Canis lupus familiaris: one gene and its partner. The protein of the gene in region 1 interacts with the protein of each later gene in a pairwise test. Links are inferred from orthologs where the notes say so. Each region holds a gene or a part of one and is shown on either strand. Other genes may lie near its edges. The genes, in order: CDK5RAP3 and TSPYL4.

Region 1 (15,221 bases):
AAAACAACAACCATTCGTTGAGTCTTTGCTCTACCAGGTGCTGTTTTAGGCACTTGACATTGCAAAAATGAGCATATTTTACTTGGATTTATTGAGTCCTTGTCATATGCCAGGCACAGTACTCCATTCTCTCTTGTGTTCAATATCTTATCTCCATTTTATATGTGGGGAAACTTGACGCACAGAATGGTTGAGAGACTTAAAGTTGATAATTAGGGGCGCCTCGGTGGCTCAGTCAGTTAAGGGTCTTGATTTCGGCTCAGGTCATGGTCTCTGGGTTGTGGGATTAAGCCCCATGTTGGGCTCTGTGCTCAGTGGGGAGTCTGCCTAAGGTTCTCTCTCCTTCTACCCCCCCTCCCCATGCTCACATGCTCTCTCTTTCTCTCTCTCAAATAAATCAGTCTTAAAAAAAGGGGGTGGGGGTAATAATTAGAAACCAGGACCATCTGACCACAAAACCTAGCTCTTAGCTGTCTCCTACTGAGGAAACATGCATGGCTCTCATCCACCCACACCCTCTCCTAAAAACAGATCTGGGCCCAGAGTCCAGGAGGTCAGTCACGTTGGTGTTCTTGTGGTGCCAGGCAGTTCTTCACTGTTGAGAGTACCAGTGTTACCTAGTCCTTAGGGCGCTGCAGGTATTAGGGGCTTTACAGTTGTTCATTCATCCGGTACTTGGCATAATCATCTTGTATTTTCCATTGTCATGGTTAATCCCAGCCCTGAGGAAGTGGAAGTTGAAAGCATCCTCTGTCAGTAAGAAAGATATAATTACCCATGGAAGCAAAAATATTATGGAGAATTTAGAGTGGTCAAAAGTGGCACTTTGATGTCAGGACCAATTTAAAGTTTTTCTTTATCCCTGTGTGGAGGCAGTTGCTCTATAAAAGTCATACAATGGGGCGCCTGGGTGGCTCATATCTGTCTTCGGCTCGGGTCATGATCCTGGGGTCACGCTGTGGTGGGGTCTGTTTAACCCCAAGGGTGCCTTTGAGCCTCTCTCTTTTTTTTTAAATTTTATTTATTCATTCGTGAGACCAAGAAAGAGGCAGAGACACAGGTAGAGGGAGAAGTAGGCTCCCTGCCGGGAGCCTGATGCTGGACTCAATCCCAGGACCTCGGGATCACATCCTGAGCTGAAGGCAGACTCTCAACCACTGAGCCACCCAGGCGTTCCAGAGCCTCTCTTTATTCCCATGATGCTTGCACCTTAACCAATATACATATAACTTTTAGCCAGTGTCTTAGCATATTTCACCTGAATTAGTGGTGGGCTTCTGGCTGTGTCAGTGGGAATGCTGTGATGTGGGTGCTTCTCACACAGACTGGCTGGTGGACAGAAGGCACTGCAGTCTGAAATGGCAGAGTCTGGTGTTGACCATCCGAGAGAAGATCAATGCTGCCATCCAGGACATGCCAGAGAGCGAGGAGATCGCCCAGCTGCTCTCTGGATCCTGTGAGTGCTTCTGGGCTACATTACCAGAGCCCCTCTTTCCTGGAGCACTGGATATCAGCTGAGCCTGCCCCCTTGTTGTTTAACTGTAGGGCTGACCCCTAGAGAGAGATTTATTTTTGGGGTACAGATGCCAGTTTCTTCCAACACAGAATGCTGAGGGGGAGAGCTATACATGCTAAAGTTCTCAGCATATTCATCAGTTAGCCATGTGCCCAGAGTAGGTGGGGAAGATACTATAATTCCCAAAGTCTTTGTTTTTCCTTGCTTTTTAGACATTCACTACTTCCACTGCCTAAGGATTGTGGACCTTCTCAAAGGCACTGAAGCCTCCACAAAAAATATTTTTGGCCGGTACTCTTCACAGCGAATGAAGGCAAGTGTGGGCAAAGCTGCAGGGTCAGAGTCTCTGGTCTCGCTAAGGGTCCAGTGGAGATGCCTATGTAGACTGTTTCCTGAGCTTTCTCTTTGCCCCCAAAGTTTATTCCAAAGTAGATCCTATGCCTGGGTTTACATTTTCAGTCCTACTGCTTTGGGGAGCGCTTGTTGATGCCACATTCTTAAAAGGAAGTGTGTGGGGGTGTCCAGCCAGTGTTATGAAGAGGTCTGTGTCTGATGTGATATGAGGGCTAGGGGAGTGTCCCCCCTGGGGCTTGAGCTGGTATGTGGCTGCTGAGCGCCATTCCAGCTCACTTCCTATTTCTATCCTCACCCAGGACTGGCAGGAGATTGTAGCCCTGTATGAGAAGGACAACACCTACCTAGGTAAAGTGGCCTAGCCTGGGAAGCCTGGTGTCCATGGGGCGGCCCACTCCCAAGAGTTCTGAGACTCTAGGCTTCTAGGAGGCACAGTCCTTTTGGGGGAAGAAGCTGGGGTATAGATGTTTACCAGGTGGGCAAAGAAGTTCCCCAAAGAGTATTGGGAGGAGGAGGAAGACCAGGCAGGTAGTAGGTATTGGCCAGGCCGGGCCTGGCAGGTATGTGTAGGTCCTCATTACTGACCTCTTGGTGACTGACCCACCTCCTCTGCACCCCTAGTCTCCACTGGGAAGAAGAGGGGCCACATTGGGTGCCTGAGAGCATAATTACAGGGCTTATGGTACTTTGGGGTATATTTCCTCAAAGTCTTAATAATAATAGCTCATACTTACCAAGCACCTACTAAATGCAAGGAGTTATACTCATGTTTTATGTGGATTCTCTCTCTTAATCCTCATGGTAAATATGATTGTCCCTATGTTACAGAACAGGATTGGATTAGCGAGTTTGAATGACTGTGTGAGGTTCCACGGCTGGGAGGGGGGAGCTGGGAGGCCAAGCCACGCTCTCTGCTGCCACGGGGTGTATTTGCACATGTCCCAGGGGCATGTTTGCCTCGGGGTGTGGGCATCTGGGGTAAATTTCCTGGGCCCCTTTCAGTGGAACTCTCCAGCCTCCTGGTTCGGAATGTCAACTATGAGATCCCCTCACTGAAGAAGCAGATCGCCAAGTGCCAGCAGCTGCAGCAAGAATATAGTCGCAAGGAGGAGGAGGGCCAGGCGGGGGCTGCCGAGATGCGGGAGCAGTTCTACCACTCGTGCAAGCAGTATGGCATCACGGTGAGCTGGAGGGCACCTGGCGCCTCTGTTGGCCTGAACCCAGCCCCTTCGCTTTTGGGAGAGGCTCCCTTCTCGGCCAGTTGTGCCCTTCTGAGCCAGTGTCTCACCCATCTGCAATCTTTGGGTGTTCTTTTGAGCTCGCTGCACTGTGCTTCCCACTGCTCCTGTCTTAGCCCTCTTCTCCCATCCTCTCTAGGGAGACAACGTCCGAAGAGAACTGCTGGCCCTGGTGAAAGACCTGCCGAGTCAGCTGGCTGAGATTGGGGCAGGGGCTCAGGCCCTGGGTGAAGCCATCGATCTGTACCAGGCCTGTGTGGGGTTTGTGTGTGAAAGGTAAAGGACCTTAGTTTCTCTCCAGCGCGGGGGGGGGGGGGGACAATTGACCTATTTTCCTCGGCTGTTCTGTCTCCTCTACTTGTGCTTTTCCCACCTCACGTTTGAGTTTTGGTTTAAACACGTGAGCCTGTGGGAGCTCCCCCATCTGGCCTGGGGGCGCAGGCCGGAGCCCCGCGTGGGCTTCACATGTGCGCAGCAGGAGCGTCAGGCGGTGCTCTGTTTCAGTCCTACAGAGCAGGTGCTGCCAATGCTGCGGTTCGTGCAGAGGCGGGGGAACTCCACAGTGTACGAATGGAGAATGGGGACAGAGCCCTCTGTGGTGGAGCGGCCCCACCTCGAGGAGCTGCCTGAGCAGGTGGAAGAAGATGTGGTAAGACAAACCTGGCGAGAGCCATGTCCTCATGCCCCACAGCTCCACCTCTACGTGAGTGCAGAGTCCCAGAAGGAAGAAAGTAGGATTTGGGTGCGAGAGACCCTAGCTGGAAGGCCCTCCCTTATTTTTCCAGGCTTCTTGAGGCCAGAGCAGAGATGAGTGTTGTAGAGGCTCAGCAAGCTGGTTGACCTTGAACTAGGAATCCTGTCCTGTGAACTCTCTGAAGATGTGCTGTCCTTCAGGGAGCCCCCAAGCCATTGCCCTTCAACAGTGTGCTGGCGCCCCCTAGAGGGGCAGCTGAGACCTCTGGGGAGGCACACCCCTTTCTTTTCACCCACTTTCTCTAAGCTAACACTTTTTTCCCCTGCTAGATTGACTGGGGCGACTTTGGAGTAGAAGTGGCTGCCGAAGGGACCGATTCTGGCATCTCTGCTCAGGCTGCTGGAATTGACTGGGGCATCTCCCTGGAATCAGACTCAAAGGTTAGGAAGCCCTCTTAGCCCATCTCTCTGAGGACTTGCTGTGTGATCTCTGCTTTGGTGTCGAGAGAAGTGTTGTCTGTCTTTAAAGATGTTACCTGAAGTGGGCAGCCCTGGTGGCTTAGCGGTTTAGTGCCGCCTTCAGCCCAGGGTGTGATCCTGGAGACCCGGGATCAAGAAGTCCCACGTGGGTTCCGTGAAGGAAGCCTGCTTCTCCCTCTGCCCCCGCCCCCCCCTCCCCCGCCTCTCAAGTTAAAAAAAAAATCTTAAAAAACAAAAAGATGTTGCCCATAGACCTCAGGCGAGGTATAGTCCAAGGGGGGAGCATTTGACCCCTTTTCTCCTGGTATGTGAGGGTCTTGGCAGGTGGTAACTCTAAGCAGGGATGAGGGTAGCAACATATGTGGCTGCAAGTCCTTCATACAGTTGAAATGTGCAGGCATATTGAGCTTATCGAGGGTTTGGTTTATTCTGGCTCCCTTTGCTGGGGAAGATTCTTGCAACCCTGCTGAGGTTCTTTGCTTTCCACCCAGGAAGCTGGAGGTGATGGGATTGACTGGGGAGACGACGCCGCTTTGCAGATCACAGTGCTGGAAGCCGGAACCCAGGGTAAGTGCCCTCCTCCCTGTAGCTTTGGCAGGAGTGGATGCTCAAAGGTCCCTGTGTCTCTGGAAACAAAAAAATGCACTGCCAAGATTGGGCTGCTCACACATCTAACTGTTTTCTCAAAATCATGATGATGATGTAAGAGTAGAGTAACGGAAGTTCTAAAAAAAGTCTTTTAAAGATTTTATTTATTTATTCATGAGAGACAGAGAGAGAGAGAAAGAGACAGTAGTCAGAAGGAGAAGCAGGCTCCCCCATGGGGAGCCTGATGCGGGACTCGATCCCAGGACATTGGGATCACAGTCTGAGCCAAAGGCCAACACCCAGCCACTGAGCCACAAGGTACCCCAAGTTCTCAAAATCAAGTCTAGAAGCTCTTAACTTTTGGAAAGCGAATGTGGGTCACCTTTCTGATGAGAGGTTCCAGAAGGGCGGTGGGCTTGGAGGTCTGACCTTGACCCTCCTGCCCAATAGCTGAGAGGATGTAGTGGCCATCTGAGCCACTAGAGGGCGGTGCAGGATGAAACTTCGTGGCCGACAATGCTGAGGGGCCCTTTCCAGGCCCTAAAGCCAGCTCTGTGATCCTCCTCCCAGACTGGCAGTTGGAAGTAGTGTCTGATTCGAGTTAAGACAATGGGAAAAAGTAACCCTTCCCCCCACCCTGGGGTGAGACATCAAGTAGCTTCTGCAATGAGTTTTTGTCCATATTAGCCCACCAGAACTTCTCAAAGTTGAGGGTCTTTTTCTCTGGTCTCCAGTGACTTTATCATTTGTCTCTCTTCCTGGCAGCTCCAGAAGGTGTTGCTAGGGGCCCAGACGCCCTGACACTTCTCGAATACCCCGAGACCCGGAATCAGTTCATCGATGAGCTCATGGAGGTACCTTCATCCTCTGTGGATGGACCCTTCCCGCTTGTGTTCATCTCCATCTGTTCCCCTCCCAGTGACCTGCTGGCTGGTGAGGGCCTCATCTGCGTTCATAGTCCTCACCTGTTCCCTTTTCTTTTTGCTAAGAGAGGCTCCTCTTAGACTCCAGGGCAAAGGAGGACAAAAGGATGGAGTTTCTCTGGTTAGAATAAGAGTGATAAGATATGTGGCTGGTTCCCAGATTCTTCCCAGCCCTCTCTTAGTCCAGGCTTCTCAAATATGGATTCCTGTTCCCTGAATCTCATTCCTCTCACAGAGAGAAAATACCTTCACTGGGACAGAGAGAACCCATCAAATCTCTGTGTTTATAGTTATCTGAGCCACATGTTGGGAAGAAGGAGAGGTGTCCAGGGCTGGGGGTGGTGGGGAGTGAGATAGCAGGAGGGGCGGGAGATTAGCGGTGGAGGCTGCTTCAGGCTCTCACGTCATAGTTGGTAAGTTTCTAGCAATTAAAGTGTTCAGAAGAAATAATCCCTCCTCACCAGGAGTCTAGCCCTCACATCTCATTCTTGCATTCTGAGCAGTCTGAGGGCTTAGCCTCTGAATTCTCTTCTTGGTGTCAACCAGATCCTCTTCTGCCCTCAGCTCGAGATCTTCTTGTCCCAGAGAGCCGTGGAGATGAGTGAGGAGGCAGACATTTTGTCTGTGAGCCAGTTCCAACTAGCTCCAGCCATCCTGCAGGGCCAGACTAAGGAGAAGATGGTTACCATGGTGTCGACACTACAGGACCTGATTGGCCGGCTCACCAGTCTTCGAATGCAACACCTGTTTATGATCCTGGCCTCCCCAAGGTCTGGCTTTCCTGTTGACACTGGGCTCTTCCGGAGCGTGATGTGGGGTGCCGCCATCTTGAGCAGTCCTGACTCTTTGCGTTCCCCTTCTCCATGACTCCTCAGAGCTCTTCTCTGCCTCCCATGGCAGCTCTGTCACAGCTGGGATCCAGGGTTCTCTTGGGGCAGGATGGGGTGGTTTGACATATGCAGGCAGGCTCTGCTTCCCAAGTAGGACAGGAGAAGTGGGAGCCATAAACCTTGCAGGGAGGGAATGAAGCGGGTGGAGGCCAAGTTGCTGGGCAGGGATTTGGTTGCCTTTGCCTTTCCCAGCAGATGAATGGGGATACTCAGGCTACTCAGCTGCCTCAGACGCTTAACCCGAGTGCCCCGCACAGGTATGTGGATCGAGTGACGGGGTTTCTCCAGCAAAAGCTGAAGCAGTCCCAGCTGCTGGCTTTGAAGAAAGAGCTGATGGTGCAGAAGCAGCAGGAAGCGCTTCAGGAGCAGGCAGCCCTGGAGCCCAAGCTAGATCTACTGCTAGAGAAGACCAAGGAGCTTCAGAAGCTGGTAAGACAGGAAAGGCAAACCTGCCCAGGGGGAAGACCCCCAGATTATACAGAACGAGGCACCTTTGCCTCTCTGCTTCTACCCACTTGGTATCACTGTCTTTCAGATCGAAGCTGACATTTCCAAGAGGTACGGTGGGCGCCCCGTGAACCTGATGGGAACTTCTCTGTGACAGCCTCCACAGGTCCACCTGCCCGTCTTCCCAGCCTTCTGGCAGGAGGGGAAGACAGCCTGGGCTGAAGTGGCAGGGCTCTTCCTAGCCAGAGACCAGGGGATTGGAGGATGGAAAGCCACGTGAAGGAGCCATCTCCTCGATGGTGACCTTTGACACTTGCTATACTCTCTGGCAAGAAGCTATCTTGATTGGCCCTGTGACCCTCAGTCTGAGACCACAGTTTCTGGGGCTTCTCATCATCTAGTTGGACTTAATAAAAAAGGAAGAGGCTCTTGCTTCACTACTGACAGTTTGTGCTTCTCTGGCCCTTGAATCAAAGCTTTGCACCTGTTTGCCTGGGCTTTTGATCCAGTGGGCTCCCAAGGCCACCGGCTGTTCCTACAGAGCCCCAAGGGGGGGAGGGGCTTCCCCCCCTTTGCTTGTGACAGGCAGGGCCCCAGATTAGTATCTACAAGTGGTTCCACAGGGGGCTCTTGGGGATCTCCATTGGCTGGGCCCCTTTTTCTGTCCGTGGCCAGGCTAGACTGCCCTGCTCAGGCCAGAAGCCCAAGGGTAGTAGTCAAGTGGCAGCCTTGTTGGAGCCAAGCAAAGCTGTATTTTCCTTTTAATCACAGTTTACCTCCAGGCAGAGGGAAGATGTGGTTTGGGAGGAAGGGTCTGATAAACAAGGTGGAGACAGGAGTTGTCACCTTTGCTAGCTAGCTGCCTGTTCACTTCCTCCCCATAACTGCCAGCACCGTGATTGGGTAGAGGCCACCCCAGGATAGCACCCCTCTCCCCAGCCACCTACCCATCCCCATTTCCCAGGAAGGGTAGGGGTTGGGGGTGGCCGGCAATTCGATTTTAATTTCATAGCAGAGCAGTTGATTCATGGCTCTTTGTCGCTGGCGTTGACTCCCGTAATGACTTTCCATCAAAATGAAAAGTGGAGTGACACCACTCATTATTCCTGCTGCTTGTTATCTCAGTTCTGGGGAGGGCCGCCCCCTCCCTGCTGCCTTTCAGCCGTCCTGGACAGTGAGTGATGGCCCCTATTAATCACCGACCCCGCGGACTCCGGCGGACACACGCTATCCAAAGGAGAGAGAGATAAGGCAGCATGAACTGCTCAGAGCCGCTCCTATCAATTAATGTCAGCCCATCGCTTCCCCCCAATCTTTGCCTGTTCACCTCCTTTTGGAGGTATCGGGGGCTGAAATTACTCTAGGAATTGGAAAAGGAAAAACAACCCGTGCGGAATGTTGAGAATGTCCTTAGAATCGAAGGATGTAACAGGGACCGGGTGGGCTGTACCCTGCCCTCCGTCGTTGTGGACATGTACGGCCTAGGGAGCTGAGTCTCTTAGGCCCTTTCCCTCTAAGAGGGTGGCTGCTACCTCCTGCCCCACCTGTTCGGCTGCTGGCTCCACCGGCCTTCTGGCCTGCCTCTTGCGGCAGCCATCCGCTCACCAAGGCATTGCTACCCTCGCCTGGTCAGTGTCCCTCGTCCAATCACCAGCTGCTACATGGATGGATGCTGTCGCTTCCAGGCACCTAGCTGCAGGGAGAAGCCCTGTGAACCATGTGACCACGGTGGACCAGTTTCAGGCCTTAAAATTTCCTGCTCCTGCCCTGTCGGAGGAGCACCTTGCCTGCCTGCCTGCTCTGCTCTGCCTGGGGTTGATGGCAGGGAGTCATACAGGCTGAGGTGTGGCCATCTTCACAGGAGGGGAAGTGGGTTTAGATAAGGTTCTCTCAGCAGATTTGGGGCACCTTGTTAAGTGGTGTGGTTAGGGGACTGTTCTCTCTCACAGGGATCAGACCTCGTCCACTGCTTAGCTGGTAAAATGAAGGCCTACTCTACACTGATGTCAATTGGGTTTGTTTTGTTTTGTTTTTTAAAGATTATATTTATTCATCTGAAAAAGAGAATGCATGAGCAGGGTGGGGTCGGGGGAGAAGCAAACAGGGAGCCCCGACACGGGGCTCGATCCCAGGACCCCAAGATCATGACATGAGCTGAAGGTACGTGCCCAACCGACTGAGCCACCCAGGCACCCCAATGTCAATTGTCTCTTAAAAGTCTCTAAGCCTATAACATTAGTCTTGTCCAGAACCTTTAGCTCCTAGCCTTTTGGCCTGGGCTTCACTTCCTGGAACCCACTTTCCCGGCCACACTGAGACATTGGAGATCCCACCCGGCTCCTTTACCCCATGGGAGAACAGCACTGTGTCTTGCAGATCTGCTCCCAGATTCCCCTTAGCATTGCTCTGATTGCAGTTGGGTCCCCACTTGCTTTTCTCTGAATTGCCTGACAATTCATTGTGAGGATTAAACGAGTTAACACACACAGAGTTCTCAGAATGCTGTCTGGCACAGAGAAAGCACTCCTGGACAAATGTGAGCTCTTAGTTTTGGTTTGTGAAACAGTGGTTAGGGACTCTTCATCCCGGTCTAACTTGCCTTCCAGGAAGGGAATGGTGGGAGGTTCTTTGTGGAGCTTGAAGACCAAGTTCTGAGCAGTCAGATTTCTGGGGCTTCGAGAAAATGTTCTGGGAGAGGAGGAGGAGGCGGGCCAAGATTTATCCTTAGTTTGGTGTGAATCGTATTGCCAAGTGCACATCCTACTTTCACGTTCACTTTTTTTTTTTTAAGATTTTATTTATTTATTCATGAAAGACACAGACACACACACACACACACACACAGAGGCAGAGACACAGGCAGAGGGAGAAGCAGACTCCAGGCAGGGAGCCTGACATGGGACCCAATCCCGGGTCCCTAGGATCACACCCTGGGCCGAAGGTGGTGCTAAACCGCTGAGCCACCTGCCCTCATGTTCACTTTTATGCCACCTTTTTCCAGGGAAGATTTCAGTCTCTCACCACTCAGCTCACTTGTCACCTTCCTTCAGACAATGGGGCAGAGTCAGTTTTCCTAGATCCTCTCTCCCTGCTAAATCCAGCTGCCCAAGCCCCATTACCGTCTCTCTGCTCACGTGAAGCCTTTCTTCCCACGTCTTCTCCAAGTGCTGCTCTAGTCAGAGTCCACAGAAGTAGGATTCCTTTGCACCGCAGCTTGTGATGGCGGCCACGACCAGGAGCTAAGCGGAGTGCTGACAGCTGTTCATCTGGCTTCTGGCTGCCCACTAAGGGCTTGCCGAGGAGATCGGGTCCTACCCATCTAGAACTAGCTCCCCATGGCCAGTGTGGGCAGGGATTCTCTCTGTCGTGCAGAAGGGAAATCTCACTGAGAGAATGGCCTAGAGCCAAGGACCAAAGCAAAGCACCCCCACCATGGCAGGGAGGGGGGGCTGCAGTCCTGCTTGTTCCCTCACATGTACCTCCCTGCTCCCCTTTCTGTCTCTCTCCTTAATTCCCAGATGTTGCTTCAGTCTCCCCCCTAGAAACACAGGTCCTGTGGCTCTTCCCTGACTCCTCATCTGCATCTGCTTGTCTTGTCACTAATTTTTATTTCATTTAATTGCCACCCATTCTCTCCACATTCCTGTACATGCACATACGAAACCTGATAATTGTAGTAGGTTAGGAAGGAAACAGGCAAAGCATCATGATGATTAGCACATTCTCTAGATCTGGACCGCCTGGGTCAAATCCTGGCTCTCTTCTTGCCACCATGTGATCTTGGGCAAGTCCCTGGACCTCTCCGGGCCTTCTTTCCTTCCCGTATAAAATGATACTACTGGCCTCAGAGTAGGGAGCCATGGCAAGAGTGTACAGTGCCTAGATGGCCACTGGCCCAGTAAGACTCCATAGTCCGCTGTTGTGAGAGGGGATGGACCCGAAAGAACCTGGACTTAAAGTCAGAAACTTGTGTTTGGGTATCGGCTCTGTGTGTCCCAGGTATCCCTAAATATCCTGAACCAAACCCATTGCTTTCTCCATTCCACTCTTCATCCCTATCTGATATTTCCTATAGGTCAAGCAGCAGGCTCCCGGCCCCAGCTTTCTCACCCTCATCATTCCCCTGCTTAGACACTCTGACGCCCCCTTAGCTCCCTAAGCTCCTAGAGTAGCAGGCCAGCCTTGGTAATTGGATCTCTATCTCCTTTCCAGCCTCAGCATCCACCCACGACACCAAACCCACGTGTCCTCAAGCCCCAACCAACTTCCTGGCCCCCTCCTAGCCTTCCTGCCCCACCTCAGACAAGGCCCAAATACATCTCTGTGGACATTTCCAGGCCCCGACAGGATGAGCCCCTCTTCCTCAGCAGCATCCCGAAGCCATGTGGAGATGCCCTTCACCTGTCTGTCACGGCGTCACAGTGCAATCCTGGCACCTGTGCTCCACCCTGAGCTGCCTGAGGATAGGAACCGGCTCTCACTCACTTTTGTGTGCCCTTTGGAATCTCAAAATTAACTTCTCCAAACTTCAGTTGTCTTAATGATCTCTAAAGTGACTTTGACCTCTAAAATATTACTGTCGTGGGGCCCATGAGTTAGCAAAATTGAAGAATCCCGCAAACACGGGAAGTTGGGAAGGAAATTGGGTTTAACTAGGCTTTTACGATGGACCGGTGGTCAACCTGAAATCCTTTCTACATGCTTTCCAGTGGGAGCACCTGCCCTGTACGTGTCCCGGGCTCCCTCCGTCCTCTCTCCCTGTTTAGTGGAGGACTCTCCTGGAGAGCAGAGGAGTAGGGCTGTTGTCCCATCCTTTGGGAGACACCGTTGCTTCTGCTCTGAAGCTGAGGTCAGTCCCCACGATGGAGTGCCGCTCCGATGCTGGGCTCCGAGCAGACTGCTCTGCGTGCTGTGGGATCAGGCCCCAGGTTGCCGTCCCGCCTGGAGGATCCCGCAGCCCATCGGGGGGGTCAGGGCTGCTCTGGGGCCACGGAGGCCGGGTGCCAGCTGACCGCAGACCCACGCCTGTCCTCCAGGTGCCCTTCCTCTGCGCTGATGAGCCCGGCCTCCCTGGGTAAATTGGCCCTGAGTAAACTCTTACTTATCCTGCCTGCCACCCTCCCCTCATTCCCCAGGCTTCAAAGAAAACCGGTTTGAATATTTAAACTTCTCCTGTGTGTCTAATAAAAAGTTCTGCACTATTTAACGGCCCAGCTATCCATTACTGTCGGGAGCTGCCCTCTCCTCCCAGCCTGCCCCTCCCTCCCTCTCGCCCAAACCACGTGCAGCAAAGCCATTTGTCACAGCGCTCCCACCGCGGGCTGCGCTTGGCTGTGTCTGAAAGGACAAGCCGCCCCACAGGGGAAGGTGGGAATGAATAAAGGGGCTATGCAAATTGCTGCTTAATCTGCAGAGAAACACCCAGGCTTTGGGGAGACGCTCATTACTTCTTTTAACTGTGATTAACGGGCAAATTAAACCCAAGCCCTTAACTCTCTCCTGGCAGAGGACTCGAACGCAGAGCCGGGGACTGGCAAGGCTGGAGGGAGGCTCTGCTCTGTAGCTGCAGCCCTCGGGACTGGGACAGTGGAGCAGGAATGCTGCCCCTTAACATTCGGCACAGTGGGCATTTGTCGGTGGGGCCGGAAGGACGAAGCCCTGATGAGGGGGAGCAGATGATATGTGAGGAAGGAGGACTTTGTGGTCCCTCTGGAGTTTTTTTTCAGCCACTCCAGAAAGAACAGGTGGTGACACTGAGATTTGCTGTCCTTTCCCCGCCACCACCAAAAAAAAAGGGGGGGGGGGCGAGAGAATCCCTTAGGCCTCACCTGTCAGGATATACTGTTAGGACCAAAGAGGCTTTAGCCACAAACCTAGTCCCAGAAAAGCATGTAAAAGGAACCTCCAGATGTTCAACTCCAAAACTGACCTTGAGGCTGATTAGCCCTAGAGAACGGGGGAAGAGGTAAAGAAGCAGGAGGTGGGGGCAGAGCATTTTCATGGGAATAGAAACTTGGGAATAGTCGGACAACAGGTTATACAGGTTATAGGCATACACTGTGGGACACCCACATTAGAAGGCATCAGAGATCGACAGTATCTGTTTTTTTTTTTTTAAGATATTATTTATTTATTCATGAGAGACACACAGAGAGGCAGACACACAGGCAGAGGGAGAAGCAGGCTCCCTGGCAGGGAGCTTGATGCAGGACTTGACCCCAGGATCCTGGAATCACACCCTGAACCAAAGGCAGACACTCAACCACTGAACCACCTAGGTGCCCCCAAAGTATCTGTTTCTTACTCTGTGTGTGGTTAAGATAATGTGGGGATCCCTGGGTGGCTCAGGGGTTTAGCTCCTGCCTGTGGCCCAGGGAGTGATCCTGGAGTCCCGGGATCGAGTCCCACATCGGGCTCTCTGCGTTGGGCCTGCTTCTCCCTCTGCCTGTGTCTCTGCCTCTCTCTCTCTCTCTCTCTCTCTGTCTGTCATGAATAAATACATTATTAAAAAAAAAAAAAAGATAATGTGACCCAGCTCATAACACACAGTTGACCACTTTAACCCTTTCTGAGCATACAATTCATCGGCACTAAATACTTCCACATTGTTGTGCAATCATCCCTACCACCTACCCCATCTGTTTTTACAGGTGATTGAGTCTTTCTGTAAGACCTATAATCACCTCTAACAACCAGCAACAAGTGAAGCGGAACTCTGAAGATAGGGAAGTAGTGCTCAAAATTGAAAAATATTGGAGAACCCCAGCTGGAACTCTGGGGCAGTTGAAGCAGAGGCCTTGATGCTCCAGAGGCAGGGTGGGTTGGAAATCCTGTAGGGACTCCCCGTTAAATGCAGGTCCCCTAAGCCCAAGTGATTAGAAGGTGAAAGATGACATACAATGGTGACAGACTGTCTGTCAACTTGACGGGGCCGAGGAGAGACGCGGCCCCGTATTTTATTTTGTCGGAGAGTGGATCAGCGGGTCTGTCATAGAAACCAGGCCTGACAGCTCGCTCAGCGACTCGGCTCCTTTTCCTTACCTCCTGCAGCCCAGCTCCACCATCTATTAAAACATCCCGGGCTGTCAGGGATATTAAAAGGCTCTGTCACTCCTTCTTAAAACAGTCATAAATACAATCTGGACATGAGCATTTGGGCAGGAGCCCTGGTGCTGAATGGGAAGAGACAACAGCAGGTATGCCTGCCTTCCCTGACAGCTGAGGCTTTGGCACCGTTCAAACAGGGAGCCTTGGACTAATCTCCCTTTTCTCTCCCACACAAGAAGCAAGGCCCTCTTCAACACTCGCCAGGGCCCCAGCATTTTGAAACAACTGCTCTTGAGCGTAGGATGTGGCCTTCATTAGCATGACCGCAAGCCTCCGCTTATCTCTGGGGCCTGGTGTGCTTAAACCGCACCTGTTCGAAGTGCCTGCCCAAGCAGCCTGCCCCCTGGGCCTCCCCAGGCGGGGTGGTGGTGGGAGGAACAACAGGGTAGCAAGGGAGCCCTAAATTCTACCTCCTTCCTCCGTGGTAGAGTTTGCCTCCCACCCGTCTCTTACCTTTCCTGTCCTATGAAACCTTGGGGCTGACCCACCTTGGTAAGAAGAGCTATGCTGGGAGGCCAGAAGCAGCCTTGAGGCCTTCCTGGTGGCCTTCCCAGAATGTAGGCTGGAACTTGTAACCTTGCTAATTGGAGGAGCCCAGTCAGCCCTGAACCCTTGAGTCTCCCCAGACTATGGGGGCTAGCCCCAAAACGAGGCGGCCTCTTCCTCTCTATATATTTGATAAGAACATATGACTGGACCCTTCCCCTCAAGAGGATCCTGTTTGATGGTGGGGGTTTTTCTAGCTTGCGGCAGAGCCATACACACCAGGACCAGGCACATTCCCTTGGCAAATTCTGACTCTGGCCTCTGTCTGCTGGGCTGGGTAGTTTGCTGAAACACGCCGAAGGCCACGTCTGTGACCTCCTCTGTTGGCATCAAGGTGGCGCCCAGGACCTTGGCATCTTGAGATGTCCTGTCTCCCAGACAGCGTGCAATGGCCAGAATTGCTTCCCATCCAGTTCTTCCACTTAGCTTTGAGTAGCTT
Region 2 (14,829 bases), on another chromosome or scaffold:
CTGTGGAATCTAACCTGAGTGGAATCTAGCAACTGTATTTTAACCAGCACTACAGGTGATTGTGATACGTGCTAATGTTTGGGGATCATCTGCCCTAAACCCTATTGCTGCTCCTGCTTCATCTCTTTTTTTAAGATTTTATTTATTCACAAGAGACACAGAGAGGCAGAGACCCAGGCAGAGGTTTCTTACTGCCTGGGATGGAGCCCCTGCTCAGCGGGGAGTCTGCTTGGTCCCTCTCCTTCTGCCTCCCAGCCTGCATGTACGCACATGCTCTCTCTGTCAGATAAGTAACTATAATCTTAAAAAAAAAAAAAAAAAAAAAAAACAGAATTAGCCAAAGTAGTTCAAATGTTTTATATCCTTCTGGAATTCGGCTGCTGAACAGCACAGAACTCAGGGTATCACTGTGAAATGTAGAGAATGTGTTATGGAGGCTTGAGTCAACTGGGTGATAACTTAGAACAGCACTTGAAACTTCATTGTCATCCTCTTCACCAGGCTAAGCTCTAACTTCCCTTAGCATAATAAAGGGCTGTGTTGAGATGGTTCAGTACGTGGTGATCTAGGTCTGTGGTAGAGACGACTCCGTATAGTAGTCACAAACATTTACAAACCTGACTCTCAAGGTGTATGTGGGCTTCTCCCAATGGTGTTTGGGAAGTCTGCCAGTTATTTTGTTTTTTTTACAATGAATACAGGTATTACTGGTATTCATTAGGGACATTAGGGAAGCTAGATATCCTGCAATGTGATGGACAGTGTCCCATACAGAGTAATCATCCAGTGCTAAATATATAGATGACAAAATCTAGTATTTAAGCCTAGAACCTAATACCATTTTACATATAAAAATATTTTGCACTGTTATTTATTGTTTTTTAAGTAAGCTCCACCCCCGACTTGGGGATGACTCAAGAGTCACATGCTCCTGGCTGCTATATGTAAGTGATAAATCACTAAATTCTATTCCTAAAACCAATATTACACTCTGTGTTAACTAACTGGAATTTAAATAAAAACTTGCAACAGGGCAGCCTGGGGGGCTCAGCAGTTTAGCGCCACCTTCAGTCCAGGGCTGATCCTGGAGTCCTAGGATCGACCCATGTCGGGCTCTCTGCATGGAGCCTGCTTCTCCCTCTGCCTGTGTCTCTCTTTCTCTCTCTCTCTGATGAATAAATAAAATCTTAAAAAAACAAAACAAAACAAAACTTGAAACAAAAAAGAGTCATATGCTCTACCAAATGAGCAAGCCAGGCCCTCCTTTCTTCCTGCAGTGTTTTAAACACTATTTTTTGAAAGCAACTTATTTCATCTACTGTAAAACATTGTAAGATACACCATTATCTAGCACTAAGAATGAAAACAAATGCTAATGAAATTCTGACACAAAACTTTCTAACATTTACAATTTTTGTGTTACCAACAATCAACAGAGTAAAAAGGAACCTACAGAATGGGAGAAAACATTTGCAAATCATATATCTGAAAAGGTTAATCTCCAAAATATGTAAGGAACTAGTGATTCTAAGGTACAGCCATCTAACTACTATATCATGTCATTTTTATTTTTAAAGATTTTATTTATTTATTCATGAGATACACAGAGAGAGGCAGAGACACAGGCAGAGGAAGAAACAGCCTCTTTGCAGGGAGCCTGACGTGGGACTCGATCCTGGGACCCCAAGGTCATGCCCTGGGCTGAAGGCAGGTGCTAAACCGCTGAGTCACCCAGGGGCCCCCCTCATCATGTCATTTAATGCAGGCAGGACTTCTTTTTATTGCACTAAGTCTTTCCCCACTTCCAGCTATTCTGTCTCCTGACTCCCAATTTGCGAGATAAAAAAAAAAAATTGAAACTAAGGGGTTTAAATGATCTGTTAAACAAACATGTTATTCTGGATCCTCCGAAAAGCAGAAGTCAAGCTGGGATTAAATATACAAAGGTCTTATTAGGGGAAAATGACTGTGTGAGTGAGATGGGGAGGGAGCCAGAAAAAAAAGACGGGAGAGCCATCTGTCCAGAAAGCAAATCTGATTGAGTGAAAAGGGGAGCAAGAGAAAGTTGGGTGGAAGCGTCCTAGACTCCTGTGCCATCCAAGGAAGATTCAGCAAGGCCACCAGGGAGTCCTTGAGGCAACCAGAGTCAGCTGTTGGCTGAGTCCCACATCCTCTAGGAATGGTCTTGCCTTCGTACCCTAGCCATACTCAGCCATTGGCTGGAGGGCTCATAGGAGGTATGGCCGGAATGCAAAGGAGACTAGAGATTTCAGGGTGCAGCATTCAGACCCTTGAACAATTACTCTCCTTGTATTAGGAAGGCTGGAAGGTGCATTTTCATGGCTACCACATGAAACTTCACACTACATTGGTGCCAAAGCCAGATCCATCCTTGACTCATACCTGTAAGAAATTCAATTAGCCCAGCATCCTCTTTGAATGTGAAGGAAGTTGTTCTTCAGCCATTGTTTTCTCAAAAAGCAGGACGGCTTTCTACTGGAAATGCCAATTTTGCGTGGCCCTGGACACACAGGCTCTGTCTGCTAAAGATGCCTTTGTCCTGTCTGAGGAAGAGAAAAGTTTCCATGGAATGCTTCTGTTGCTGCTCAACTTAATTCTGGGCTTTGGAGCCCTGGAGTGGTGACTCATTTAGTCATAGGGACAGAACTCCTTCCATATGTTAAGGGTAATTTAGGGGAAATTGTTTGAAAATTCAGTATCTTTTGGCTGTAATGGTACATGAAATACATTTTAAAGAAGAAAAAAAGGAAAGATGGAAACGGGGGTGAGGAAGGAGGAAAGCAACTTACGGAGTAAGGGTCACCTACATTACAATATTGACCCGTTACTCTGAGAAGAGGGTAGGTAAAGACAGGTTGGGTGAGCTTACTATTTTTAAAAAGTAAGGCTCTGTGCTCAACATGGGGCTCAAACTCACAACCCAGAGATCAAAAGTCACATGCTCCATTGACTGAGCCAGCCGGGTGCCCCTTAGGATTCCTATTTTATAAAATGTGGAAATGGAGATAAAAAAAGTTAAACCACTTGCCCAAATTCCCACTGCTCATGAAGGCAGAAATGAACTCCAGCCCATGTCTTTTGCCCTCCTCCAGTAAGACTGGGTCTACACAATACCAATAAAGAAAAAACAAATGAACAAAGGGAATGTTCTCTCTGATGGATTGAGAACTGTTGACTTTAAGCCTTGAATCCAGGATCATGAATTCCTGCTTCTTTTAGTGTTCAGGCACTTCCCCAACGACTGTTAGTATCTTTCTGGATGGGCAGAGGGGAACAGGACAGTAAGACATAACATTAAATTGGGATGGTCATACAGTCTTACTTCTAAGAAAGCACCTTTACATTTTACATGTTGGGTGGAATTGCAGAAAAATATAATAAATGAGTGTACAGGTTCCTGAGTCAGATTACGGCTCTATCACTTTTGTGTGACTGTGGATAAGCAACTCGGTTCCTCTTTGCTGCAGTTCCTTCTAAGGTAACGTAGGATGAAGTCATAATATTATTACCTCACAGGGTTATTCTGAGGATTAAATGAGATAACACATTTAGAAAACACTAAGTAAATGTAGGCCCTAATGAATATATAACCAGAAACCCTATCATTCTGAAAAAACATGCCGGGCTCCAGCTCCAGCTGGGGTGGGTCTCTCGAAGGAAAGGCCGGCGTCGGCAAATGAGGGGACGCACAGAGTCAGGGTGCAGACACGTCCTGATCATTTCGGAGGGGCTTTATTTATACCATTTTACATTGCCTTGCTTTTCCAGTTTCTTTTTTAGTAAATAATTACATTTTACATTTTATCGCAAACATCTTAGATCATTCTAAAGATTAAGAAACATCTTTTTCATACGAAATATTTTTCCTTTCAGTTTCGACTGCTATAATGAACATGACCTTTATTGATTTCTTGAGAAAGCAGTGAGTGTGATGTAAAAGACAAAAGTGCTAGACAGAGCGTGGCCTATTCTAGTGGAAAAACAAGTCTATGGTAATATGGTTACATGAAAGGGGTTATTATTTTAAAGGTTATATACAGAAATGTTTAACTTTCTTCTAGCAGTTTACAGTACCCACAACTTATTTTATCATGTGTTCCACTGGTTAACTGTTGTCTCTTTAACTTGACGCTTAAGAGGTACCTGAAGGACTTCTTCCATGACAGCTTTAACTGGGCTAGGTTCCCAGATTTATTTTACCCTTAACTGATAAAAAAACTCAGCATTTCTCATATTAGAGGAATTACAGAGTGGGGGGTGGGGGGCATTGGGTTTTATTCCAAGAAGCATGTTGGAAATTTTAATTATTTTTAGACTCCATATTTATTTTATGGAAATTCCCCAATAGTATTATAATGATGCTAAAGATGGCCAAAAACAAAGTGAAAGGAATCCATGGGAGCCAGCTGTGGCTTCTCCTGATTTTCAGGATTAACTCCCATGCCTGGACTTTGTCAAACAGCATGAGTAGCCTGGCTCCCACCAAAAGCAACCTTGTTGTTCAAGAGTAACAACAGTGGGTATTTCCTAAATTTTCCAGTACTTACTATACACTTTAGTAAAATCGTTCCTATTTGACTATACTAATTTATGTTTGAACTTTTGTTAAACTCCTTGTCCTGTGGCAAATGAAAATTACCTCCTGGATTTTCTTTTTTTAAAGATTTTATTTATTTATTCATGAGAGACACACAGAGAGGCAGAGACATAGGCAGAGGGAGAAGCAGGCTCCACACAGGAAGCCCGACGTGGGACTCGATCCCGGGTCTCCAGGATCTGGCCCTGGGCTGAAAGCAGCACTAAACTGCTGAGCCACCTGGGCTGCCCCCCTCCTGGATTTTCATGGCATTTCTTGCGAGTATTTTTCCATATGGTCATGTTACTGACATACCTTTTGCTCTGTAGTGAGGCCGATGTCAACTGCCAACAGAACAGGCTTTGTCATGTACTCCAAATCCTATATTCTAATATGCAAACAAAATGATTCATACCTATAATACATAATCCACTCAACTCAAAATGAAATACTAGCATAGTCATACTATTCATTTTGGTTAAATCTTTTACATTTTTCATTTAACTCAAGTAATCAAATTCATTACAATCTCCAATGAGATAGTCACTGGCCTACTATAGTAGATGCCAAGGATGCAGCCATCCTTGCCTACTTGGCATGAGGAGACTAATCTGCATAAAACAACCAAGAAAGTTAAAGATAGAAGGTAAATTCTAATTTGCACGGTAAAGGTCATAGGAGCTATAGAAATTGAGGACTGTTAGAACGGTAAGGTGATAAGGGAAGGTCATGCATAGGAGATGGGAGGAGGCAGTCTGGCAATTAATATATGTCTCCATCATGAGGGAGTCAACCCTGTGATCCTGGGTCCTTGTTTAGGATTATTAAATGCATTAAAATGCTAATGCAATCTACATGAGGTAAGCTTGAATGGAGTTTCAAGGATGGGCAGGTTATTATTGGTGGAAAATGATCCCCTTGACAGGAACAATCAAAGCTAGGGATGGGGATGCTTCAAGCAGTGGAGATAAAAGTCCTTTGTATATGCAACAAAAGAAAAAAGGTTCAGAGGTAGCAGTAGTTTTAAGTAACTTTCTAATTTTCTGTTGCAAATAGCAAATGCTACCTTTCTTGTATGGATTCTTTAAGAAAGGAAACAAGGCAGAGCAGTGTCAAAGTATAACCCAAAGTCACAAATACACTAAATTATAGCACAATGTTTACTTATTTACAAAGAGGATAAATTAGTAAATGGATTTCACCCCACAGAGGCAAAACAGGATTTATTAAAACGGGGGAAAAAAGGAGAGAAAAATAATTGTAGTCTGAGAAGAGTGCATCTTGTTTGTACATTTTTTTTTTAATTTTTTAAAAAAATCTTATTTATTCATGAGAGAGACAGAGAGAGGCAGAGACACAGGCAGAGGGAGAAGCAGGCTCCATGCAGGGAGCCTGATGTGGGACTCGATCCCAGAACTCCAGGACCACGCCCCGAGCCAAAGGCAGGTGCTCAACCAGGGGGCCACCCAGGCATCCCTGTTTGTACAGTTTTTATGGGTTATCTGATTAGCTGGTAGCAGTCACTCTGGACAGTCTGTCCTTGAGTAGGCAGACTAGGGGCACAAAAATATCTTGAATGTTTCTGAACTGTCTGGTAAACCTTTGTGAGCTACCCCATGAAGCTGCGGGACAGGCTGCTCCTCTGTGCCACCTGCCACTATCTCTCCCAGCACCTCATTCTTAGTTGCACAGGGTCTGCACTACCTCCCTCAATACACCTGCTACTTTTCCGTAACTCTGTTTCCCCTACACCCTGACTTTTCACTGGATCCTCTCCCGAGTCCTAATTTAAAAGCGATCATGGGGATCCCTGGGTGACGCAGCGGTTTGGCGCCTGCCTTTGGCTCAGGGCGCGATCCTGGAGACCCGGGATCGAATCCCACGTCGGGCTCCCGGTGCATGGAGCCTGCTTCTCCCTCTGCCTCATTCTCTCTCTCTCTGTGACTATCACAAAAAAAAAAAAAAAAAAAAAAAAGAAGCGATCATGATCTGGGGTGCTCTGTAGCGTAGTAGTTTCTATCACAAAGAGTCACAAACATTTTTCTAATATGAATTTAAGATGCGGAACAAAAATATGCAAAATTCAAGTTTTCCTTCATTCTTGCGTTTGTCTAAGGATCAACACCAGTATTTCCACACTGCAGCAAACAGCACGTGGTACGGAATTAACACCACTGCTAGATGAATCGTATGAACTGACTGGAAAAGGCACATTTCGGGTAGCTATTTTAACACTGACGTTTTAGACGCCACTTAAAATATTTTTAGTTGGACGATTACGAGTTGCAGTGCCTGCGAACAAACAGCTGCTGTTGCTCCCGCCCGCCGGGGACTACCACAGGGGCTATTGTGGCAACTACTCCTGGGCTTCGAGCTCGCGCGGACTCCGAAGCAGGAGCTCCTCCCGGCTCAGGGCTGGGCCACATCCACGGCACGTGCCATTTTGGAAATTACACTCTCCTGAGATCACGTCTTTTTCCGTGATGCTTCAAGGCCGGGTCTGCGCGCTCGCGCGAGTGGGTCGACGCCAGTGAGGAACGTACCTTGACCGCGTGTATTACTTCAGAGCGCAGCGGGCCTGGCGTCCGGTCGCCCCCGGGGTCGGCCGACGGGCGCAGCCTTCGTGGTGTCCGGTCGGGAAGGCCGAGGCTTCCGTCTCCACCGCGCCGAGGTGCGTAAGTCACCACTTTTTTTTTTTTTAAGATTCTAATTAATTACTCAGGAGAGAGAGAGAGAGAGAGAGAGAGAGACCCGGGCGAGGGAGAGGCAGGCTCCCGGGTCCCGCCCTCCGCCGCGGGGCCGCCGCTCTGCTCACCTCCAGCCTCGGGGGCCCCTCGGCGTCCTCGCCTGAGGGAGGGGAGCGCGGGGCCGCGGCGGCGGGGACACTCACCCAGCGCCCCGGAAGCGCCGCCGCAGCGGCCCGCGAACCCACGCCCGCGCGCGCAGACCCCGGAAACCCGGAATCCCCAGGCCCCGCGAACTCTCGCGCGACGTGAGGACGCGCGCCTCCGGCCGCCGTGACGTCAGCGGTTGCCATAGCAGCATCCTCCGGGAGTGCGCGAGCGGCGGGGACCGGGACGCCGTCCTGCTGCGGGTCCCTGCCCCGAGATGAGCGCGCCGGCCGAGGGCAGGCACCTCCCTGCCGCCCGAGACTGCGGCGCGGCGGCGGCGGAGGCCGACCCCGCCCCGGGCCCCCCGGACGCGACCCCGGGCCGGGCCGAGGGGATGGCGGACGCGGGTGAGGGCGGCGTGCAGACGGCCGCGGGGGGCGCCCCGGCCCGGAGCCCGGCTGGAGGCGCCCCGGCGCTCCGCGTTCGAGTGTTCGGGAGTCGCGGCCGCGGGGCGGGCAGAGCGGGCCCCCGAGAGCGCCTGCTGCCCGCGGAAGGCTCGGCCGCCGCCGGTGCCCAGGAGCACGGCTGTCCGCGGAGAGAGCCGCGGGGCCCTGCTGCGGAGAAAGCCCTAGAAGCCTGCGGCGCGGGGGCGTCGGGGGCGCAGGGGGCGCAGGGGGCGCCGGGGGCGAAGGCCAAGGAGCTGCCGGCCAAGTGCGCCGCGGAGGGGGAGGGAGCAGCCGCGGGGGCGGCGGAGGACGGGCAGGCGATGCCCAAGGAGAAGGGGGCGGCGGGGACCCAGGAGGAGGCGCGGGCCAAGGCCCCGAAGGTCGGCAGCTGCATGGACTCGCTGGAGGCCATCGACCAGGAGCTGTCGAACGTCAACGCCCAGGCCGACCGGGCCTTCCTGCAGCTGGAGCGCAAGTTCGGCCGCATGCGCAGGCTCCACATGCAGCGCAGGAGCTTCATCATCCAGAACATCCCGGGCTTCTGGGTCACGGCCTTCCGCAACCACCCGCAGCTGGCGCCCATGATCAGTGGCCAGGATGAGGACATGATGAGGTACATGATCAATCTGGAGGTGGAGGAGCTCAAGCACCCCAGGGCCGGCTGCAAGTTCAAGTTCATCTTCCAGGGCAACCCCTACTTCCGCAACGAGGGGCTCGTCAAAGAGTACGAGCGCAGGTCCTCGGGCCGGGTCGTGTCCCTGGCCACGCCGATCCGCTGGCACCGGGGCCAGGACCCCCAGGCTCACATCCACAGGAACCGGGAAGGAAGCACCATCCCCAGTTTCTTCAACTGGTTCTCGGACCACAGCCTCCTAGAATTCGACAGGATCGCGGAGATCATCAAGGCCGAGCTGTGGCCCAACCCCCTGCAGTACTACCTGATGGGCGAGGGGCCGCGCCGGGGCATCCGGGACCCCGCGAGGCAGCCGGCCGAGAGCCCCAGGTCCTTCCGGTTCCAGTCCGGCTAGCGGCGCCCCGGCCGCCCGCGCCCCGCCCCCGCGCCCCCGCGCCCCCGCGCCCCGGCCCTGCGCCTGGCCCGCAGCACGCCCTCTGTCCGCCCGTCTCGGCGCGGCCCCGCGGCGGCCCCGCTTCTCCTCACCCCTCAGTCGCTTGTAAGGTTGACCCTTGGATGCCCGCGTCCTGGTCCACGTCCCGCGTGCACGCGCCGCCTCGGCGCGGCCCCGGCCCCGGCCCCGGCCCTCAGTGCAGCTGCTCACCGGCCGCCGCGCGGCTGAGGCGGCTGAGGCGGGAATGAGGCCGGCCGGCGAGCGCCCGGTGCAGCCGCGTGGCTCCTCTGCGGGGGCCCGGGAACCCCCCCCCGCCCCGGGGCTGCGGGCAGGTGGGCAGCGCTCTGTGCTCGCGCCTGGAGCGTGGCCCTCCGGAGCCGCCGCGGCCCCGGGACCTGGGCAGCCCCCCCCGGGGGCTCGGAGGACCCGGCTGCGCTCCGGGGGGCCGCCCCGTACCTGCACCCCCCTCCTGCCCCTCCCTCCCGCCCCTCCCCCTCTCCCTCTTTCTAGAACAGCTCGAGCTCCGAAGTGGAGAGCCTCGGGGGCCCGGGCGGGCTTTGTGCTTCACCTGCTCCCGGCCCCGCCCCCCAGCTCCGAGAGCCTCCGACGGAGACCTGTGGGCGACTCGGGGCGTCGGGGCCGCGGCGACCCCCCGCCCTGCCCGCCCTGGAGTCCCCGGGAAGCAGGGAAGGGCGGCGGCGGCGCGGGACGGATTTAAGGAGAGCCGGAGCCGGTGGCCACCGAGGCGGCCGGAGCGGAGTTTCACTCTCCTTCTTTAGACCTGGAAACTGGGGGGACGGGGAGCCCCAAGAAACAACCCGGGGCAGCGCTGCGGGGCACCCTCCCCTGCTTCCTCACGCCCCCGCTTCCGTCCCTAGAAACCCGGCCGCGTTGCCGAGACGCCAGGCTTCCCCGCCGGGGTCGGGGTGTGTGCAGCTGAGTGTTCCGGCGGCTGCGCGTGCGGCCCCGACTGCCCGCCGCCCCCTCCCCTCCTCTCCCCCCTCTCCCCTCCCCCCTCCCCCCGGAAGGCTTTGCCCGAAGCTCCCGGAGCGCTAGGGAGGCCTGGGCACCGCGGGGGGGAGGGGGAGGGGGGAGGGGGTGTTTGCTGTCGCCGAGGCCCGACTGCTGCGAAGTGGTCTTGGAAGGGCCCCGGGAAGCTGGAGCCCCGGGGGGGGGGGGGGGGAGCTTTTCCGGGAGCCCAGGGGGTCTCAGAGTGCTTGATGTTTAAACAGGATGCTTGGAGGACTTTTCCCGAATTCCCTTGAATTCACCAGTAGATTTTTGTACACGAAGATGCAAGTCTGGATGTTTTCTCTCTATTACTATAGGAGTGATTTTCTCTGTGGAAAATTAGTGGTATATGCTCCTTGTTTCTCTGTGTTTGAGTAAAATCCTGCTCATTCCTTTCTCTACTTTTGCTTGCTGGCAAAATCGACACTTACAGGCCTGCTTTTTGCTCGTAATTGAGAACGTGTGCAAAAATACCGAACTTGTTTCCTGCGCAGTATGAAACCCGTGAACACTCATTAATATATCAGCTTGTCCTGGTCTGTCTTCACCCGTAGTTCTATTCTTAGAAATATAATTTGAATGTGATCTTTGAAATCTTGCAAGTTGTTGCTGTGTCTTGTGCAAGTAATCTCTAAAAAACCCCCATAACTCCTATTGTCGTGATATTCCTTGCCCTAATAGTAACGTGGTACTTGACATTAATGTCCCTGACCAGTGTAAGTACTTGTAGAACTGCTCTGTCAAACTAAACAAGGATCGTTAAGTACTTTAGTATTCTGTGTGCTCAAAGGAAAAATAAAGTCTGTCAGTCTGCTGTATTTCTTGTTTTCAACAAAAAATAAAAATAAAGTTCTGTGTTGTCTAGTCTAATAAAAGATTGGGAAATCATTAAAGTTATCAAATTATCACAGTAAACATTTGTCCTGAAGTTTCCAAAAAAAAAAAAAAAAAAACAGCCACCAAATTTCTAAGGTGCTTTTTTGCTTAGAAAATGGTAAATAAGAGGCCTAACTACATGCTCATGAACATAATTTTTCTATTCAACCAGTATAGTTTTTGAAGGTAATTAAAGCACCATTTCTTGTTTTTGGTCACTTAAAATATTTACAGCGGAAAACATTTTTGGCTTTTTATGTTTTAATTCCAGGTAATTAACCTACACTGTTACATTAGTTTCAGGTCTACAATACAGTGATTCAACAATTTCATACGCCACCTGGTGCTCATTTTAGCAAGTGCGCTCCTAAATCCCCATCACCCATTTAAGGTATCCCCCAGCATCCCCCACCACCTCCGGTCTGAGTCATCAGTTTGTTCTCTATAATTGACTGTTTCTTGATTGGTCTCTTCCCCCCCCCCCACCTTTGTTTCTTAAATTCCACATATGAATGAAGTCAGAATGGTATTTGGCTTTGACTGACTTAGTGGAAAACTATTCTTAATGCACCATCCTTGTTTACTACATTTGTGTTAACCGTGATCTTACTCTTTCCTCAGAAGATAGATTTTTGGAAGGAGTTAATCATTGTATATTCTACAAGTGCTTCTTAATTTCTTTTCCTACAAGGTGCAGTGCTTTAAAAAGAAAGAATAACAAATTGTGACTGACATAGTATCTAGAAACCTGATCCCACACATCCCAATCTCAATGACTAAGTCCTGTTAGGCAGGACTGCTGCTGTTAGTCCAGCAGCTGTCACATGAAGGGTTAGGAGTTGGGAGGGCCCTGGCTATTGCAAGATCTGTGAAAATGAATGGTATTTGTAGCCATCTAAACAAAAATTTTACATAAATGGCCCCAAATTATTACTAAACAGACCTGCTGACTCTTGGTGCAGTCCATTCTTGCAAGTTTTACTTGCTTAAGTATAATTTTTCTAGGCCTGGATAACTTTTTTTTTTTAAGATTTTATTTATTTATTAGAGACACAGAGAGAGAGAGGGACAGAGGGGGAAGCAGGCTCCACGCAGGAAGCCCGACATGGGAATCGATCCGGGGTCTCCAGGATCAGGCCCTGGGCCAAAGGCGGAGCTAAACTGCTGACAGGCCAGGGCTGCCCTAGACCTGGAAAATTTTAAATTTTAGAGAACTATGTTTTCATTGCAACCTCTATACCTATCTTGATTGTAAATTATACTTGTAGTGTTCATTTTACCTTTTCGATTCAGTGATTTTTTTTTCCTGCATTGTCTCTCTTATCCTTTTCTGGACATGGTCAGAAAAATGTCATTTTTATTGTCGTTGGTTTATTATCAGCTTTAACCAATAGTATTCATTTTCCTAGTAGGTTGGTGCTACTCTTTTGTTAGATTACGATGGTTTCTGTTCTGTTGAATAAAATTATACTAAATTAGACATTCTGTAGGTTTCACTTACCAGTTGGTATACTCCTATGTCCCTGCCCCATTTCTTTTCATTGCCTTTTTTCTTCTCAATTCTAGACCCAAATTATTCCTTACGAAGACCTCCAAATCGGTTATGAGGTTCTCGCATCCTCTGATCACCAAACAAGTATCATTTGGTCTGCACAGGCCTATTGCCCTGTTCGTAGGGTCATACTTCATAATTTCCCTAGTCCCCACATAACAGAATCTCCTTGGGCATTCTTCCATTTCTGGGTATTAGACCAGACGATGACAAAAGTCTTGTCTAACCTTCCTTGCTCAAGGTCCCTTCTCCCCGTTACTCCTCTTGCAGCTCCTGCTTCTTTTTCTCCAGTTGACTCAAGTTTCTGTAATGTGTGTATCATAAAAACCAAAATTATCTGTATTCTTATTAAATTCCTTGTTCTACGGGATCCCTGGGTGGCTCAGCGGTTTAGCGCCTGCCTTCGGCCCACAGCGTAGGCCTGGAGTCCTGAGATCAAGTCCCATATCGGGCTCCCTGCATGGAGCCTGCTTCTCCCTCTGGCTCTCTCTCTGTATCTCGCATGAATAAATAAATAAAATCTTAAAAAAAAAATTCCTTGCTCTATAGAGTCACAATTTGAGCCTTGGATATCTGTTCGCATCAGAGATACCGTCTCTGGTTTGACAGTCCTAAGAAATCTGAGGGGTCAGGCACGTCCGTTTATGTTCTCGTGTTACTTTCACTATTCTCACACAAGTTTTACTATCTCCGTTTAGATACTTAAGGAAACAGGCTCAGAGGGCAGCCCGGGTGGCTCAGCTGTTTAGCGCCTGCCTTCCCGGGATCTAGTCCCACGTCAGGCTCCGTCCATAGAGGCTGCTTCTCCCTCTGCCTGTGTCTCTGCCTCTGTCTCATGAATAAATAAAATCTTTTTTTTTTTCTTTTAAAGAAAACAGGCTCCGAAAGTTGAAGTAGATGTGCCTAAGATACAAGTCACAGAGACATGTATTTTTTAATTTCAAGCCTAGATTATCTTCCACTACCATCATAAACATTTGTACTAAATTTGGCATAAAACAAAAACTATGTGAATAATCAGGACTCAGCTGAAGGCTGTTTTTCATTCATTCATGATTGGTCTTTGAAAGGGGCACTTTTATCACTTAGTTCAGGGTTCCATACAGTCTACAGATTAAAAGCTACTGAGATTTACATATGCGATCTTGATTGCTGCAAACATGAATGAAAATAGAAGTTTGTCGTCTTCATCAAAGGGAGTAAATGCACCAAAAGGACTTTAAATCTTAACTTGCGATATTTAGTTGCTAGGAACTGTAAAGACATGTTGACATTTGTTTTTTTTTTTTGATTTTTATTTATTTATGATAGTCACAGAGAGAGAGGCGCAGAGACACAGGCAGAGGGAGAAGCAGGCTCCATGCACCGGGAGCCCGATGTGGGATTCGATCCCGGGTCTCCAGGATCACGCCCTGGGCCAAAGGCAGGCGCCAAACCTCTGCGCCACCCAGGGATCCCAATGTTGACATTTGTATTAGAGAATTTGAGTATTTTTAAATTGATTCAACATAGTGATTGCTTTTAATAGGCACTTAGTAATTTATTTCTTTATTTTAATCATTTACTTAAAGATTAAAATTTTTTTTTTAAGTACAATCTCCCCCGCTCAGTGTGAGGCTAAACTCACAACCACGATCAAGAGTCTCGTGCTCTACCGACTGCGCCAGCCAGGTGCCCCAATCTCTTTGTTAAGCTTTAGTCTTTACCAATACAGTGCCAAGGCCGAAGCACTAATAAAGTAAAATAAAGTCTTTTTTTTTTAAGACTCTGAGAACAGGTGCATGGTATGAGAACCTGTTAGGCAATCTATGTGATGCTGTAGTTGTCATTCTAAGTAATGACCTAACTTCTCTCAATAGACTCAGATATCCCACCTCCCATTAAGTTTGGAGCAGTTTTCATTATTCATTTTCCATTTTGGTTTCCTCAGCACCAAAGAGGGAGATTTGCTCAATATTCAAGGTGAACATTGGAACCTGAATATGAAGGAAGAGTAGACCTGCTTACCGAGGGCTTTAGTATGTGCGGCTTCCAAGAAGAGTAGAGCTCAAAAAAAAAAAAAAAAAAAAAAAAAGAAGAGTAGAGCTCATTATACGTTTTACTCCCATGGTTCTTGATTGTTTTACTCTAACAGGTAAGTTCTATGGTATAGAACTTTGCTTTAATATTTTTTACCGAATTGTGTTACTTTAGGACAGAGCCTGTTTATTTCTAATCCCTCACATGGTGTGACTGTTAAATTGAAACGTGGGTTCAGACTGAGAATTTGCCCCAATCTACTTCCAATGTTGGAAGACTTAGGTGTCAGTCAACTAAGGGCATGAGTTTTGGGGTGAAACTTGGGCTCATGTACAGACTCTGTTCCTTAGTAACAGTACAATTTTTAGCAAGTATGTTATTTAACCTCCGTCAATTTCAGTGTCCTTATCTGTAAGATTCTATTTTATTT

Evidence for each region.
Region 2: the proteins of CDK5RAP3 (region 1) and TSPYL4 interact in binary tests that used the Homo sapiens proteins (3 or more experiments, as listed by UniProt). The two-hybrid records come from large-scale screens. The link is inferred for Canis lupus familiaris from reciprocal best matches to the Homo sapiens genes CDK5RAP3 and TSPYL4.

The regions. Positions count from the first base shown.
Region 1 is NC_049230.1:24,229,634-24,244,854, forward strand, and holds the end of CDK5RAP3 (CDK5 regulatory subunit-associated protein 3), read left to right. Parts: intron 1-1,324; coding exon 1,325-1,456; intron 1,457-1,728; coding exon 1,729-1,829; intron 1,830-2,169; coding exon 2,170-2,218; intron 2,219-2,872; coding exon 2,873-3,051; intron 3,052-3,247; coding exon 3,248-3,384; intron 3,385-3,612; coding exon 3,613-3,757; intron 3,758-4,131; coding exon 4,132-4,242; intron 4,243-4,772; coding exon 4,773-4,848; intron 4,849-5,634; coding exon 5,635-5,723; intron 5,724-6,356; coding exon 6,357-6,562; intron 6,563-6,939; coding exon 6,940-7,111; intron 7,112-7,217; coding exon 7,218-7,283; 3' UTR 7,284-7,575; downstream 7,576-15,221. UniProt on the Homo sapiens protein: Substrate adapter of E3 ligase complexes mediating ufmylation, the covalent attachment of the ubiquitin-like modifier UFM1 to substrate proteins, and which is involved in various processes, such as ribosome recycling and reticulophagy (also called ER-phagy).
Region 2 is NC_049233.1:72,375,674-72,390,502, reverse strand, and holds TSPYL4 (testis-specific Y-encoded-like protein 4), read left to right. Parts: upstream 1-7,705; coding exon 7,706-8,902; 3' UTR 8,903-8,928; downstream 8,929-14,829.